3 linked regions of the Mus musculus genome follow. The protein of the gene in region 1 purifies or fractionates together with the protein of each later gene. This does not show direct contact. Links are inferred from orthologs where the notes say so. Each region holds a gene or a part of one and is shown on either strand. Other genes may lie near its edges. The genes, in order: Tap1, Tapbp and Canx.

Region 1 (3,799 bases):
TACCCGTTACCCGCCTCAGGATGCTGTGCTGACGGGCCCACCCTGGCCCCCACTGTCAGCTCCTCTTGTCTCTGTGAACCGCTTGCTCACTGTCTCTCTTCTCAATCTGGGCAGGTTCCATCACATCTCGGGTGACTGAGGACACAGCCAACGTGTGCGAGTCCATTAGTGGCACGCTGAGCCTGCTGCTGTGGTACCTGGGGCGAGCCCTGTGTCTCTTGGTGTTCATGTTTTGGGGGTCACCGTACCTCACTCTGGTCACCCTGATCAACCTGCCCCTGCTTTTTCTTTTGCCTAAGAAGCTGGGAAAAGTGCATCAGGTACGTCCCCAGATCCTCAGCTCCTACATTTAGTTTCTCCTAGACTGCTTTCAGTGTGGCTTTCCAGTCCTCCATCATCCTGAACCTCTGACCTGTGACCTCTGACCCCGCACTGCCCTGCACCTGCATCTCTGTACTCTGCCTTCTTGTCTAACTTCTGGCCACAATCTGTCCTTAAAGAATAGGCTCTCAGGCTGGAGAGACGGCTCGGGGTTAAGAGTGCTGACTGTTCCTCAGAGGACCTGAGTTTGATTCCCAGTGCACACTAAGCAGTTAGTTCTCTGTGGTCTGTAGTTCCAGCTTCAGGGGATCTGACTCCCTCTTCTGGTCTCCATGGAGATCTATACACATGATGCACACACATACACGATAAAATAAATCTTACAAAAACTGGATTCATTTCCTCCACGCCCCTTCTACCTAGAAGTATGGCTGTAGACCTTTCTCTTCCCTCTGTCCCTCTGACTCTTGACTCTATAATCTCCACGCAGCTAACCTAGGTGTCCATATTCTCTCTCATTTGCACCCCGTGTGATGTCTCTGGTCCTTGTCTTCCATAGTCACTGGCAGTGAAGGTGCAGGAGTCTCTAGCAAAGTCCACGCAGGTGGCCCTTGAGGCCTTATCGGCGATGCCTACTGTGCGGAGCTTTGCCAACGAGGAGGGTGAGGCCCAGAAGTTCAGGCAGAAGTTGGAAGAAATGAAGACTCTAAACAAGAAGGAGGCCTTGGCTTACGTGGCTGAAGTCTGGACCACGAGTGTGAGTACAGGAGGTGGATATCCCATCCTTTGTGTGAACATGTCTTGATTCTGCTGTTTTCCAACCCCCCTGCTCCTCCTCCAGTGGGAAGTGATTGGCTTCGGCTCTTGATTACTCAATTAAGGACTCTGCCCTTAATTCTCTCAGTGTTTTGTAGTGTTAAGAATCAGCCTTCCACATTGGCACACAAAGCCCACTTGACCTGTGTGTTAAGGAGATACCACTCTCCCAACTCCGGCACTTCCTTGGCTTCTCAGAAAGCCACACATTTCCTGCACGGTGTGCGCTTCATGTTGGCACTGTGTGGGCAAGCTAGTGGGAGCCACGAGAAGTGCCAGAGGCCAGCGGCCAGGGGCAGCTGGAACTAAAGCTGTAACCGAGATTCCAGGATCCTTCCTGCCACCCACCAGTTCTGTATCCAGCACATGTTACCTTTTTCTGAGGCTGTTGCCCTGATTTGAAAAATGGGAGTAAAACCTGATGTGGTGGTTCACATCTGTAATCCCAGGACTCATGCTGAGGCAGGAGGATTGCTGTGAGTTTCCAGCCATCATGAGCTATGATGTGAGACTTGTCTCATTAAAGGGTATTGGGGAGTGAGATGACTCAGTAGGTAAAGGTGCCTGCTGTCGTGCTGCTGAGCCTGGTGACCTGAGATCCATCTCAGGAACCCATATGGAGGACAGGAGAACTGACTCCTGAAAGTTGTCCTCTCACCTCCACAAGGTGCACTGTGGTGCCTACTCACATACAAAAATAAGTAAACAAACAAACAAACAAACAAACAAATGTAGTAAAAAAGTAATATTAAACAGCAGCAAGAAAGGTATAACATAATAACATAATCTCCTATACAGAGGCTCGTGATGTGAGCCGCTGTGTTTAGCTTTGTAATACAGGGTGGACATGGTTCAGCTGTTAAGGATGCAGACTGCTCTTCCAGGTGACCGGCACTTATGAAGGGCAGCTCACAACTGCCTGCGGCTGTAGCTCTAGGGGTTCTGATGCCCTCTTCTGACCTCTGTGGGTGCCTACACTCATATGCCTGTACCCGCAGACAGACAGACAGACAGACAGACAGACAGACAGACACACAGACATAATTTAGAACTATAAAAATAAATCTTTTTAAAAAGTGTCAAATGCTCCTGAAACAAGGAGCCGGCAGCGATGAGGAGGAGGACATGGAAGATGTGAGCTGTGTTTGAGTCTGACCATTGACCCCGCCTTCCCCCTAATCTCACGTGTCTGGGAGAAAAGACCTTCCATGTGATCATTGCAGTTCGTTTCATCCCATGGTTTCCCTGTAGGTCTCGGGAATGCTGCTGAAGGTGGGAATTCTGTACCTGGGCGGGCAGCTGGTGATCAGAGGGGCTGTCAGCAGCGGCAACCTTGTCTCATTCGTTCTCTACCAGCTTCAGTTCACCCAGGCTGTTCAGGTGAGCCCCGCCCCCGCAGTCGGCGGTCTCAGCCTGTCCATTGCCTTCTCTGCCGCTTTGCGCATCCTCCGCCTGTTCCCTGAATGCTGTCAAGCAGGTTAGACGGCTCACTTGCTTTCGTGGTCCATCCCAGGCTCACACACACCCCGCTCTGCAATGCAGGTCCTGCTCTCCCTCTACCCCTCCATGCAGAAGGCTGTGGGCTCCTCAGAGAAAATATTCGAATACTTGGACCGGACTCCTTGCTCTCCACTCAGTGGCTCGTTGGCACCCTCAAACATGAAAGGCCTTGTGGAGTTCCAAGATGTCTCTTTTGCCTACCCAAACCAGCCCAAAGTCCAGGTGCTTCAGGTACTGTCTACCCATCCCTTTTATGCCTCCTTCTTCTTCTTCTTCTTCTTCTTCTTCTTCTTCTTCTTCTTCTTCTTCTTCTTCTTCTTCTTCTTCTTCTTCTTCCTTCTCCTCCTCTCCCTCCTTCTCCTCCTCCTCCTCCTTGCCACGAGCTTCTCTGGCCTCCAGGGGCTGACGTTCACCCTGCATCCTGGAACGGTGACAGCGTTGGTGGGACCCAATGGATCAGGGAAGAGCACCGTGGCTGCCCTGCTGCAGAACCTGTACCAGCCCACCGGGGGCCAGCTGCTGCTGGATGGCCAGTGCCTGGTCCAGTATGATCACCATTACCTGCACACTCAGGTGAGCAAGAAGGAGGTGTGGGGGAGGGGAGGAGATCAAGCCAAGAGACAATTCTCCACGAAAACTCTTGCAGAGAGTTAGGGGATGCAGGCAGCCATGGGCAGAGTCGGGGCTGTGGACAGAAGTCACGTGACTGTATGGTATGCACAAGATTGTGAATCTTCAGTCCCTGGACAATAACACTGGTGTTTCTTGCCTGTGGCTCTTCACATTTGACCTCAGGTGGCCGCAGTGGGACAAGAGCCGCTGCTATTTGGAAGAAGCTTTCGAGAAAATATTGCGTATGGCCTGAACCGGACTCCAACCATGGAGGAAATCACAGCTGTGGCCGTGGAGTCTGGAGCCCACGATTTCATCTCTGGGTTCCCTCAGGGCTATGACACAGGTATCTGCACTCTCCCATCCAGATTCCAACAATCCTGCCTTTATTATTCAATCCCTCTTGTCCCTTGGATGTCAATTTGTAGTTGAAACTCTAAGATTCACATCCTCAGACTCCATCTGCCTTCATAGGGCCTCCATTTCCACTGCCCCTGTCAGCTGCGCCCATGCCCTTGTGTGTGTGTGTGAGAGAGAGTGTGTATGTGTG
Region 2 (4,599 bases), about 270 kb from region 1:
ACTTGTGAGGATGATGAGGATGAAGAAATGGGAGGCGGCTCTGGGGTTCCTGCAGGGGGAGAGCCCGAGGCTACCCTCAGTATCAGTGATGTTCGGACCTTGACCGAGCCTGCAGACAAGGGGGAAGAGCAGGTCAACTTCTGTGAATCCTCCAATGACTTTGGCCCCTATGAGGGTGGGGGCGCTGGGGCAGGGCTTGATGACCCCGGAGGACCCACCCCTTCCTCCTATGCCCTCACCCACCCTCCACGACCCCTCCTTCCATTGGATGTGCCGGGCAACCAGATCTTGGTTTTCCCATCCTCCTCTTCACAGGCTCCAGGCCAGCCACCAGGGAACACAGCTGAGCACGGGGCAGTGACCCTCGGGGGCACCTCTGCGGTGGGGCTGGGCATACCAAGTGGCTCTGGTGGGGCTCCTGGAGGGACAGGCAACAGCGACGGGAATAAGATCTTTCTGTGCCACTGTGGGAAGGCTTTCTCACATAAGAGCATGCGGGACCGGCACGTGAATATGCATCTCAACCTGCGACCCTTTGACTGCCCCGTGTGCAACAAAAAGTTCAAGATGAAACACCACCTGACCGAGCACATGAAGACACACACGGGCCTCAAGCCGTACGAATGCAGTGTCTGCGCCAAGAAGTTCATGTGGCGGGACAGTTTCATGCGTCACCGGGGACACTGTGAGCGTCGGCACCGGATGGGTGTGGGTGGGGTCGGATCTGGACCGGGTCCTGGACCTGGACCCGGGACACCTTCTGGGCCAGCATTGCAACCCAAGAGGGAGTCTTCCACAGTGGGTGGGGGCAGTGGCGATGAGGCAAATTCGGCCACGCCCCCGTCCCATAGGCGTGTCTGGTCCCCACCCAGCGTGCACAAAGTGGAGATGGATTTCAGTGGGGGTGGAGGTGCAGCACACTGAAGAGCAGGCAATTGGGGAGCTTAGTCTAAGAGCAATGGCTCCCGGGGTTTCCCCCACCAAACAGTCTTCCCTTACCTCGGTGGACTTGTATATATTCTAGAGAAGGGCGTGGGTTGCACCGTCGCCAGCCCGTTCCATTCCTCAGCCCCTTCCTCGAGATCTCTGGAACTAAGCTGTGTTTTTGCTTTTCCCCTGAGCACACCAGAGCCCCACCTTCACGGAGTAGTGCCAACAAGGTGGGGGAATGGAAAAGGGACCTTTTGAGCATCCTAGAGTCACAGAGCCAACAGTCAGGTTGTGCTAGTTTGTGCCTGAAGTCTGTGTTTGTGTTGTGGGACAAGGCCTTTGAGTCTTAACGATTGTCCTTTCTCCTCTTGAAGGATACGCCCCTTATTTCTGTACTACCCCACCCTTGCCATGGGGATCCCAAATTGGGTTGTCATGAAAGTGGGTGGACACAAGGTGGGAGCCGCGTAGTATAGGTCTTAATTTTTAACGGTGATTAAAATATTTATTGGTCACTTCACTTGGCTTCCCAACACCCCTCTGTTTGCTGGGACCTGGCACAGGTCTGGGAACGCGGGAGTGTGGTTTTAAGGGAGGTGGCGCGGAGAGGGCACAGCAGGAGGGCGGAGTCTAGGCTGATAAAGGGCTCAAAGTTGGCGCAGTCCGGTGAGCCAAGGGGGTGGGTGCAGGGCGAGGAGTGGCTGGAGAGCTACAGACAGGGTTTCGGCAACTCTGTTTGGCCCCTGTGGGCGGCGTTCCTCCAACGCGCAGTCACGCCCTCACCTGACCAGATCGGGGAATTTCCAGTTCCTCACCCCAGCCTTAGAAGGAAAATGAAAGTGAAAGGGGAAGAAAAGACTTGGTAGGAGAGATCGTAGCACCATGAAGCCTCTGCTCCTGCTCGTCGCTGTGGCACTGGGTGAGCAGACCCCATTTCTTCTTGTTTAGGAATAGACACACTGGGAAGGAGAGGGAGGAGGTCCCATGGCGGGTCTGAAGGGGCGGGCCGGTCGCCGGTCGCCGGACATCCTATGGCCCTCTGGTCACCGGAGCCCCTCTCCCCAGGCCTAGCGACCGTCGTCTCCGTCGTCTCGGCTGGACCAGAGGCGATCGAGTGCTGGTTCGTGGAGGATGCAGGTGGGGGTGGCCTGTCTAAGAAACCTGCCACACTGCTACTGCGCCATGGACCCAGGGGACCGCCGCCCCGGCCAGATCTTGACCCAAAGCTATACTTCAAGGTGGATGGTGAGTCTTCGGGACTTACCTGCATCTGTCGCCTCCTCTTAGCTCACGCAGGGACGCTGGGCCTCAGTTTTCCCTTTTGTAAATACGTTTGGATGCTCTCTAAGTCGTTCACTACTTTGCTAGTTTGTGCCTTCCGGCCTGTGTGTAGTCAGCACATTTCCAGTCCGGGCTACCGTTACACCCTTTTCGGTTCTGCAGACCCGGCGGGAATGCTCCTGGCCGCCTTCAGGCGGTACCCCGCAGGCGCCTCCGCCCCACACTGCGAGATGAGCCGCTTCATCCCGTTCCCTGCCTCGGCGAAGTGGGCTAGAAGTCTGAGTCCGGAGCAGAACTGCCCGCGGGCCCTGGACGGGGATTGGCTGCTGGTCAGCGTATCCAGCACTCTCTTCAGCCTCTCCAGCCTGCTGCGACCACAGCCGGAGCCTCTGCGGGAGCCTGTCGTCATCACCATGGCAACAGGTAGCCGCCGAGAGGCGCGCGAGATGGATGGGTAGTTTTTAAGGATCTAGATGGGCCAGTTCGGCGACTCGCCAAGAGGTTTGAATGGGTCATTTCTTCAACTGGGGATCAGTATATATTCTTTTGTTAAGGGAAGGGAGTTGGTTAGATTTTATCTTCACCCTTCATTGTAGGCTGAGAGTAAAATTGAAACCTACTGTGGTTTGGGGGCGGGACTTTGCAGAGGCGGTCATGGTGTCGGTTTCCAGATCCCAGAGTTTGAGAAACTCATAAGGTTAGGCGTCCCGAAACCCAAATTTTTTCTGCACCCATCCTAGGTTTCAAAAATCACACTTTGAGTCTCTTCAAAGCGCACTAGAGACTAGGGACAGTCAGCCCAGCAAGGAACCTCTTGCCAAGGCTCTCGGCCACGGTCTTTAGTGCCTCAACAGTGGCCTCTAGTGGGCAGAACGGTGGCTTGTGCACAGGTGCGGTTCTGCCGCTTGAGTTCCCAGAGATCCACCCACCACTTTGCTGTGCTGGACAGGGGAAGGGGCACTCTATGGGGTAGATCTGTCTTGAATGTCCTGAATGTTTGCTTTTCTCTCTGGACACCACCTAACAGGTAGATAGAATCGTCATTGGCTTTCCCCATTTCTGGTGCTTTTATGCAAATATTCTCACCGAACTCAGTCCTTTGCCTTCATCATTTGAAGTCTCCAAATGGGGACAGTCTGAAACTCCACTGGCACCTCTACTCTTAGCTCCACCCTGTGCAGGCCCTTTGTGGGGACAGTAGTTCTCTTGAAACCACCTGCCCTCACACTGCTGGTCTTCATGTGGGATGGTGTTGGCTACCTTTTGCCCTATGGGTCGTTTTTTTCCAACTGTAAGAAGTAGGATCTATTTTGCCAGCTACTTTTATTTGTGGCATTGAAGCAAGGCCCTGTGCAGCTATGTGCTGGTCCAATAAATGTTATTAGCACCAAGAAAAAGTTAGGACCCTGAGGTCCCCAGATCGACCTCCAGATAACTAGCAAAGAACCTACTGAAAGCTTGGGCTTGGGAATCACAGTGTATGGGGTGGCCCTGCGTGCTCAGTGACGGGTGATCAGATGTCGACTCACCGTGCTTCTCAGATCTGTCAAAGATAATCCCATGTGGCTTCTGCAGGGCAGGTGTGTGTGCCTCAGTGACTGTATTAGTTATTTGCAGAGTTAGTTTTGTATGTGTGTGTGTGTGTGTGTATGGGTATATGCGTGTGAGTGCAGCTGCCCAGGGAATCCAAAAGAGCTTGTTGGATCCTCTGGGGCTGGGTTACGGCTGGTTGTGAGCCATGTGGCGTGGGAACCGACCTTGGGTCCTCAGAAGTGCAGTCTGTGGTTTAAAGTGCTGAGTAGCCTCTCTAGGCCCTTATCTGAGTCCTAGAGTGCTCTGGACCAGAGCTGACTCTCAGAAGACTACTTCGCATAGACTTGGGGTAAAATCAAGTTACTATGGCCTGTCTTCCCCATCAGATCACTTTCAGGTCACTTCTGCTTGATATGAAAATCATGAAAATGGGGGTGGGGGTGGGGGTTGGGTAGATGGCACATCAGTTAAGAGGACTGGCTGATCACCCAGAGGGTCTGGGTTCACTTCACAGCACCTACATGACAGCTCACCGCTGTAACTCCAGTCTCAGGGGAGCTGGCACTCTCACAGACATACACACAGGCAAAACACCAGTGCACCTAAAAGAAACCATTTAAAATCTTCTAAAAAGAGAGAAAATAATGAAAGTGGTTTATTTGTTGCTGTCACCTTCCCCCTCCTGCTCCCAGGGCACTGACAGCGTCAGGGAAGCTCTCTGCCAGCAAACCTCAGCCCCAGCTTCCTTCAGCCTTTGGTTGAGACACAGGGTCAGCTCCTAAGCAGGTTCCCTTGCCCTTCCTGTGCAGCCCAGGCAGGTCAGTTGAGGACTTTCCTCGCTCACCTTGCAGAAGC
Region 3 (4,593 bases), on another chromosome or scaffold:
ATGAATAAGCTATCTCTGATAAATAAGGCTCATCAATTCCTGAAGGTCTACTCAGGTTAACACTAACTGACTTGAAGGTATATGCCTAGTCTCTTTGTATTTGCTAACTTTGTTAAGGTTTAGCTGTTTGGATAAACTGAAACATAAAAGAAACTTGTAATATTCTATAATGACACACCATGAACAGACCAGAAGACTGACGTTCCCAGTCTCTTTGTGGACAGTATAGTTTAGAGCCATCATGTCCTCATTTTTATTAAAATTTCACATTTATTAATGTATGTATGTGAATTTGTATAGAGGTCAGAGTACAATTCAATCTCTTCTTTCACCACGTTGAGTTCTGGGAATTAAATTCAGGCCATCAGGTTTGGTGGCAAGTGTCCTTACCTGCTGAGCCATCTCCATTGCTCCCAAAACATTTTTAGTATATGGATCCCCCAAATACCTGAGAGTCACTTTTTTGCTCTTCTGTACAATTTTCTCATCTCAAGAACTTCCTTCCAACTCCACCTACAGAAAATTTGCATATCTATGAGGTCCAGTTCAAGTCTTTGTCAGTTTAGACAGAAAAGTTCTGCCTCAACTCCTCTACTCCTTCAGTACTGACATATTTTAACACCTCTCTGCAGAAGTCGATTTTTTGGCTTTCTTAAATTCAAGGCCATCTTGGGTAACACAAGCCAGAACTCAACCTAAGTAAATTTAGAATTTTTTTTTAAATTATGTGTACTGCCTGTGCCAAGCTGGCTTCAAATTTTCATTTTGAACATGCTCTTTATAAGGCAAATAAGGAAAGCAATTTCTCTTCTTTAAAATTAGGGAGAGAGAATTGGCGGTTACTAAATTGACCCAAACATCAAATCCTTACTGCCTTTCTCTTGGGGTGGCAGGAACAAAGCTCGTTTCACATGTAGAAAAACCTGCTGTTTCTTTCCACATTATTCAAAGCTTTGGGTCACCAAATACAACCCGAGGCGATCAGGATTCTCAAGGATCTAGCCAAATCCTTAGCCACTTCAATCTTACAGCGTTATCAGCATATTGAAAAACGAGTGGGTTATGAAAAGGCTATTTTAAATCTGCACATGGCATCACCCTTTTCCTCAACTCTGTCGCTTAGGTATGTCTGATTTTAACGACTAAAATCAGGAAACAGCACGGGCACATGGGAAAGTGACTCCATGTGGCTTGATTGTGAATCTAGGTAGTGTTTTGTTAGGTAAAGAGGTCTCAGGCTCCTGAGCTCAGGGCGATGACTCCGCAGGAAAGGCGGTGTCTGCTACCCAGAGGGATTTCACTCACTGCGCAAGCACACCGCCCGACCTCTCACCATTTGTGATGAAGGCCATAGGTCCCAGGCGGGGTTGGGACAGAGTTCCTAACTCAATGGGTCGGAAAGCCGTCTTCTGGATGTCCAACACACCCGCCCTGAGGGACTAGGGCGACCCACGCGAGAACGCGTGCCAGATCCGTCCGCCCTCCGCGGCGCGCGCCCGCCCGTTTGGTGACGGCCCGCCTTCCTCCTTCATACCCAATCAGCAACCACTTCCTGCCTCGCTATTGACCAATCACCACGCTCCACGAAGAATAGCCCTAGGGGGCGTATGGGAAGGCGCTTCGAGCGATGGCTGTATCTACCAATAAATTCTTAGATCTTGCGCAAAGGGGCGGGATCTGACGTTCGTTTTAGCCACTCAGGAACGAGGGGCGGACGCGGGGTTGGGCTTCGTGCGGTGGGGCTCGCTCGCGCGGCGGCCGTAGCCGAGGCCTCTTAGTTCTGCGGCACGTGACGGTCGGGCCGCCTCTGCCGCTGTCTCCACTGCAGCACGGGGCCGGGTGTGCGGGTGGGAGAAGGTGAGGGAGCCGCCAGTGGTCCCCGGGAGGCTCGAGGTGAGACGGGAAGCGTGTGCGGGGATCTCAGGCCCGGGACGAGCCTTGGGGGACTGGGCGAGCGGCGCCGTGGCGGAGGGGGTCGGGCGTGGCTGTAGGCTCGACGACTGAGGGGTCGGGCGGGCTTTCGAATGGCGCAGGCCTGGGCGGACGCGCAGGGCAGTGAGGAGAGCGGCCGGGTTAGAGAGGCTAGCCTGGGCAGCGCCGCCGGGGTCGGGAGGCGTGGCAGGTGTCCTGGGGTTTCCCTTGACCTCTGAGAAAGCTAACAACTTCCTACGGCTTTGCTTCTAGAGCTTTCTTAGGCCCTGGCCAGGCCCACCCAGAGGTGGGCTGAGTAATCCGGTACAGGTGTGGTATTAGAATTCGGCCTAGTAGGTAGCCCAAATAGCAGGGAAAGGTGAAGTAAATCCAGAGATAAGCGTTACAGATTAGAAAATAACTTGCCCAAAGGGAAGACTGGACCATAGCATCCTGATGAGGGAGTAGAATGTACTAGAACGTGTACCGCTTGAGAAACTTAAGGCTTAACTATTAAAGCACCTGCCTATTCGGTGGTGGATAGATAGTAATCCAGTGTGGGTGTTCACAGGACCTTAAGAGCAGGAGATACAAGCGAAAGTTCAGTTAGTGAGGGGAGGAAACTGAGGCCTAGAAGTTTGAAATGACTGGCCCAAGGTCATACAGGTAGTTCTAGTCATCCAGTTGGGATTGTAACTGAGCACTAGACCGTTTGGGTTAAAAGTCCTGGTTCAAGCACCTAACTGCAATTAATCGGGGGAGTGGGAATTTGGGAGATTTTTTTTTTCTACTTTAGGGCTCAGTCCCCAGGAGTAGACAGAATGACTGATGGGCCTTGTATTGAATTCCGAGGGAATGGGAATGAGAAATTGGATGTGTAGTAAAGGTTCAGTGGGTAGGAATCGAACTGGCTTCTTGAAATCCGAATGCCTTGGTCATTACACTGATACACTAATGTTTATATTGAAGGCCTGTGTGCCAAGACCTGAGGACACATTGATGACACTTTGTGTATTAACTGCTGGTCATGACACTAGTGATTGCATTGCTAGTTGTGTGAAGTTAAACCAAACTGAATACTAAAAGCTTGGCAAAGTTGAGCTACAGTCTCTTTACCCTTCAGAAATGGAAGAATCTGCCTGTTTTTTAAAAATAATTTGCCCTCCCACCCCTTTAAAGGGGGACAAGTTGGGTTACCTTAAAAATCTTTGTATATTTTCCAGTAACCTTTGAAAGGGCATGAACAGAATCAATTCTCATGTTGTACTTATACTGTAATTAAGCTTACAGGCCAGGCAGGGGTACACTACAGGTGAGCCAGGCCCTGAAGAACTGTATATAGTAGTGAGCCATTCACAATAGGAGTTTACCGAACTGTCTGTGAATGGGTGTCACCTCCTTGCTATCTTAACTCAACAGTGCAATTAACTCCTTAATCTTTCAAGAGCCACAAGGCATGTGCATCTTGACAACACACCTTGCATCCTTGTCCTGCAGAGGTCACTTGCCCAGTAAGAGAACTTTGAGGGAGTAGAGTGGCAGTTGCTAAGAATAACTGCAGAAGACTGTCCAGCATGATAACTTTAATTCCTATCCTTTAAAAATGGGAATGAAAGAAAGAAAGAAAGAAAGAAATGGGGATGAGTGTGCTACTTGCTTTGCCTTTGAGAGGGCAGATACTAAGAAACTGTTTGGGAAAGTGTAAGGAAATGGACAAATAGTATTGGCAGCTCATAAAAAGTCCTAAGAAGTAATTAAAGTGCCAAAGATAGTTGTAGTCTGTATAGCTTACTGTAAAACTCATTAGGAAAATGCTTGTTAAATGCTTTGTTATTGCTACAAATGCTAGGAAAGAATTTTTAGGCTTATTTAATTTTCTGTGTATGTGTGTTTTGCCTGCATGTATGTCTGTGTACCATGTGTGTGAGACCCATCATATTGGTGCTGGGAATCAAACCTGGGTCCTCTGGAAGAGCAGCAACTATGTCTTCAGCCCTGAAATTTTTCTTTTTTCTTTTTTTTTTTTTTTAAGGAATCTAGACAATTTTTATATTGTATTCTTGTCTTTAAAAAAAATCATTTTAAGATTTATTTAGGGCTGGAGAGATATCTCATCGGTTGGGGGCACTGGCTGTTCTTCCAGAGGTCCTGAGTTCAATTCCCAGGAACCACATGGTGGCTCACAGTCATCTCTAATGAGAGCCGATGCCCTCTTCCGGTGTGTCTGAGGACAGTGTACTCATATACATGAAATAAATCTTTAATATGTGTGTGTGTACTATGTACATATATATATATATTTAAAAATATGTGTATGTTGGTGTGAATATATATGCAATATATTATTCATGGGGGCCAGTAAAGGGCATTATATTCTCTAGAGTTGGAATTACAAACAGTTGTAAGCTGCCCAACTGGGAATTCAACTCTTAATCACTGAGCCATCTCTCCATCCTGCGTATTCACATCTTAAAGTGAATTAATAGGAAAAAGTTTCTTTTAAAAAAAATCACTTATTAGCTGGGTGGTGTGGTGGTGGCTCACCTTTGATCCCAGCATGAGGGAAGCAGAGGCAGATTTATCCCTGACTTCAAGACCACCCTGGTCTACAGAGTGAGTTCCAGGACAGCCAGGGCTACAACAGAGAAACCCTGTATCAAACAAAACAAAACGAAACAAAAA

The links.
Region 2: the proteins of Tap1 (region 1) and Tapbp purify together in Homo sapiens (co-immunoprecipitation; 6 studies listed by BioGRID and IntAct, with this or other methods). This does not show direct contact. The link is inferred for Mus musculus from reciprocal best matches to the Homo sapiens genes TAP1 and TAPBP.
Region 3: the proteins of Tap1 (region 1) and Canx purify together in Homo sapiens (affinity purification with mass spectrometry; 3 studies listed by BioGRID and IntAct, with this or other methods). This does not show direct contact. The link is inferred for Mus musculus from reciprocal best matches to the Homo sapiens genes TAP1 and CANX.

What each region holds. Positions count from the first base shown.
Region 1 is NC_000083.6:34,190,449-34,194,247, forward strand, and holds part of Tap1 (antigen peptide transporter 1), read left to right. Parts: intron 1-114; coding exon 115-320; intron 321-880; coding exon 881-1,078; intron 1,079-2,388; coding exon 2,389-2,517; intron 2,518-2,679; coding exon 2,680-2,868; intron 2,869-3,036; coding exon 3,037-3,210; intron 3,211-3,432; coding exon 3,433-3,595; intron 3,596-3,799. UniProt on the Homo sapiens protein: ABC transporter associated with antigen processing. In complex with TAP2 mediates unidirectional translocation of peptide antigens from cytosol to endoplasmic reticulum (ER) for loading onto MHC class I (MHCI) molecules.
Region 2 is NC_000083.6:33,917,876-33,922,474, forward strand, and holds the start of Tapbp (tapasin isoform 2 precursor), read left to right. Parts: upstream 1-1,602; 5' UTR 1,603-1,812; coding exon 1,813-1,849; intron 1,850-1,995; coding exon 1,996-2,175; intron 2,176-2,194; exon of another isoform or gene 2,195-2,373; coding exon 2,374-2,634; intron 2,635-4,599. Other genes in the region: Zbtb22 (zinc finger and BTB domain-containing protein 22), read left to right, coding at 1-924. UniProt on the Homo sapiens protein: Involved in the association of MHC class I with transporter associated with antigen processing (TAP) and in the assembly of MHC class I with peptide (peptide loading).
Region 3 is NC_000077.6:50,322,793-50,327,385, reverse strand, and holds the start of Canx (calnexin precursor), read left to right. Parts: upstream 1-1,712; 5' UTR 1,713-1,893; intron 1,894-4,593. UniProt on the Homo sapiens protein: Calcium-binding protein that interacts with newly synthesized monoglucosylated glycoproteins in the endoplasmic reticulum. It may act in assisting protein assembly and/or in the retention within the ER of unassembled protein subunits.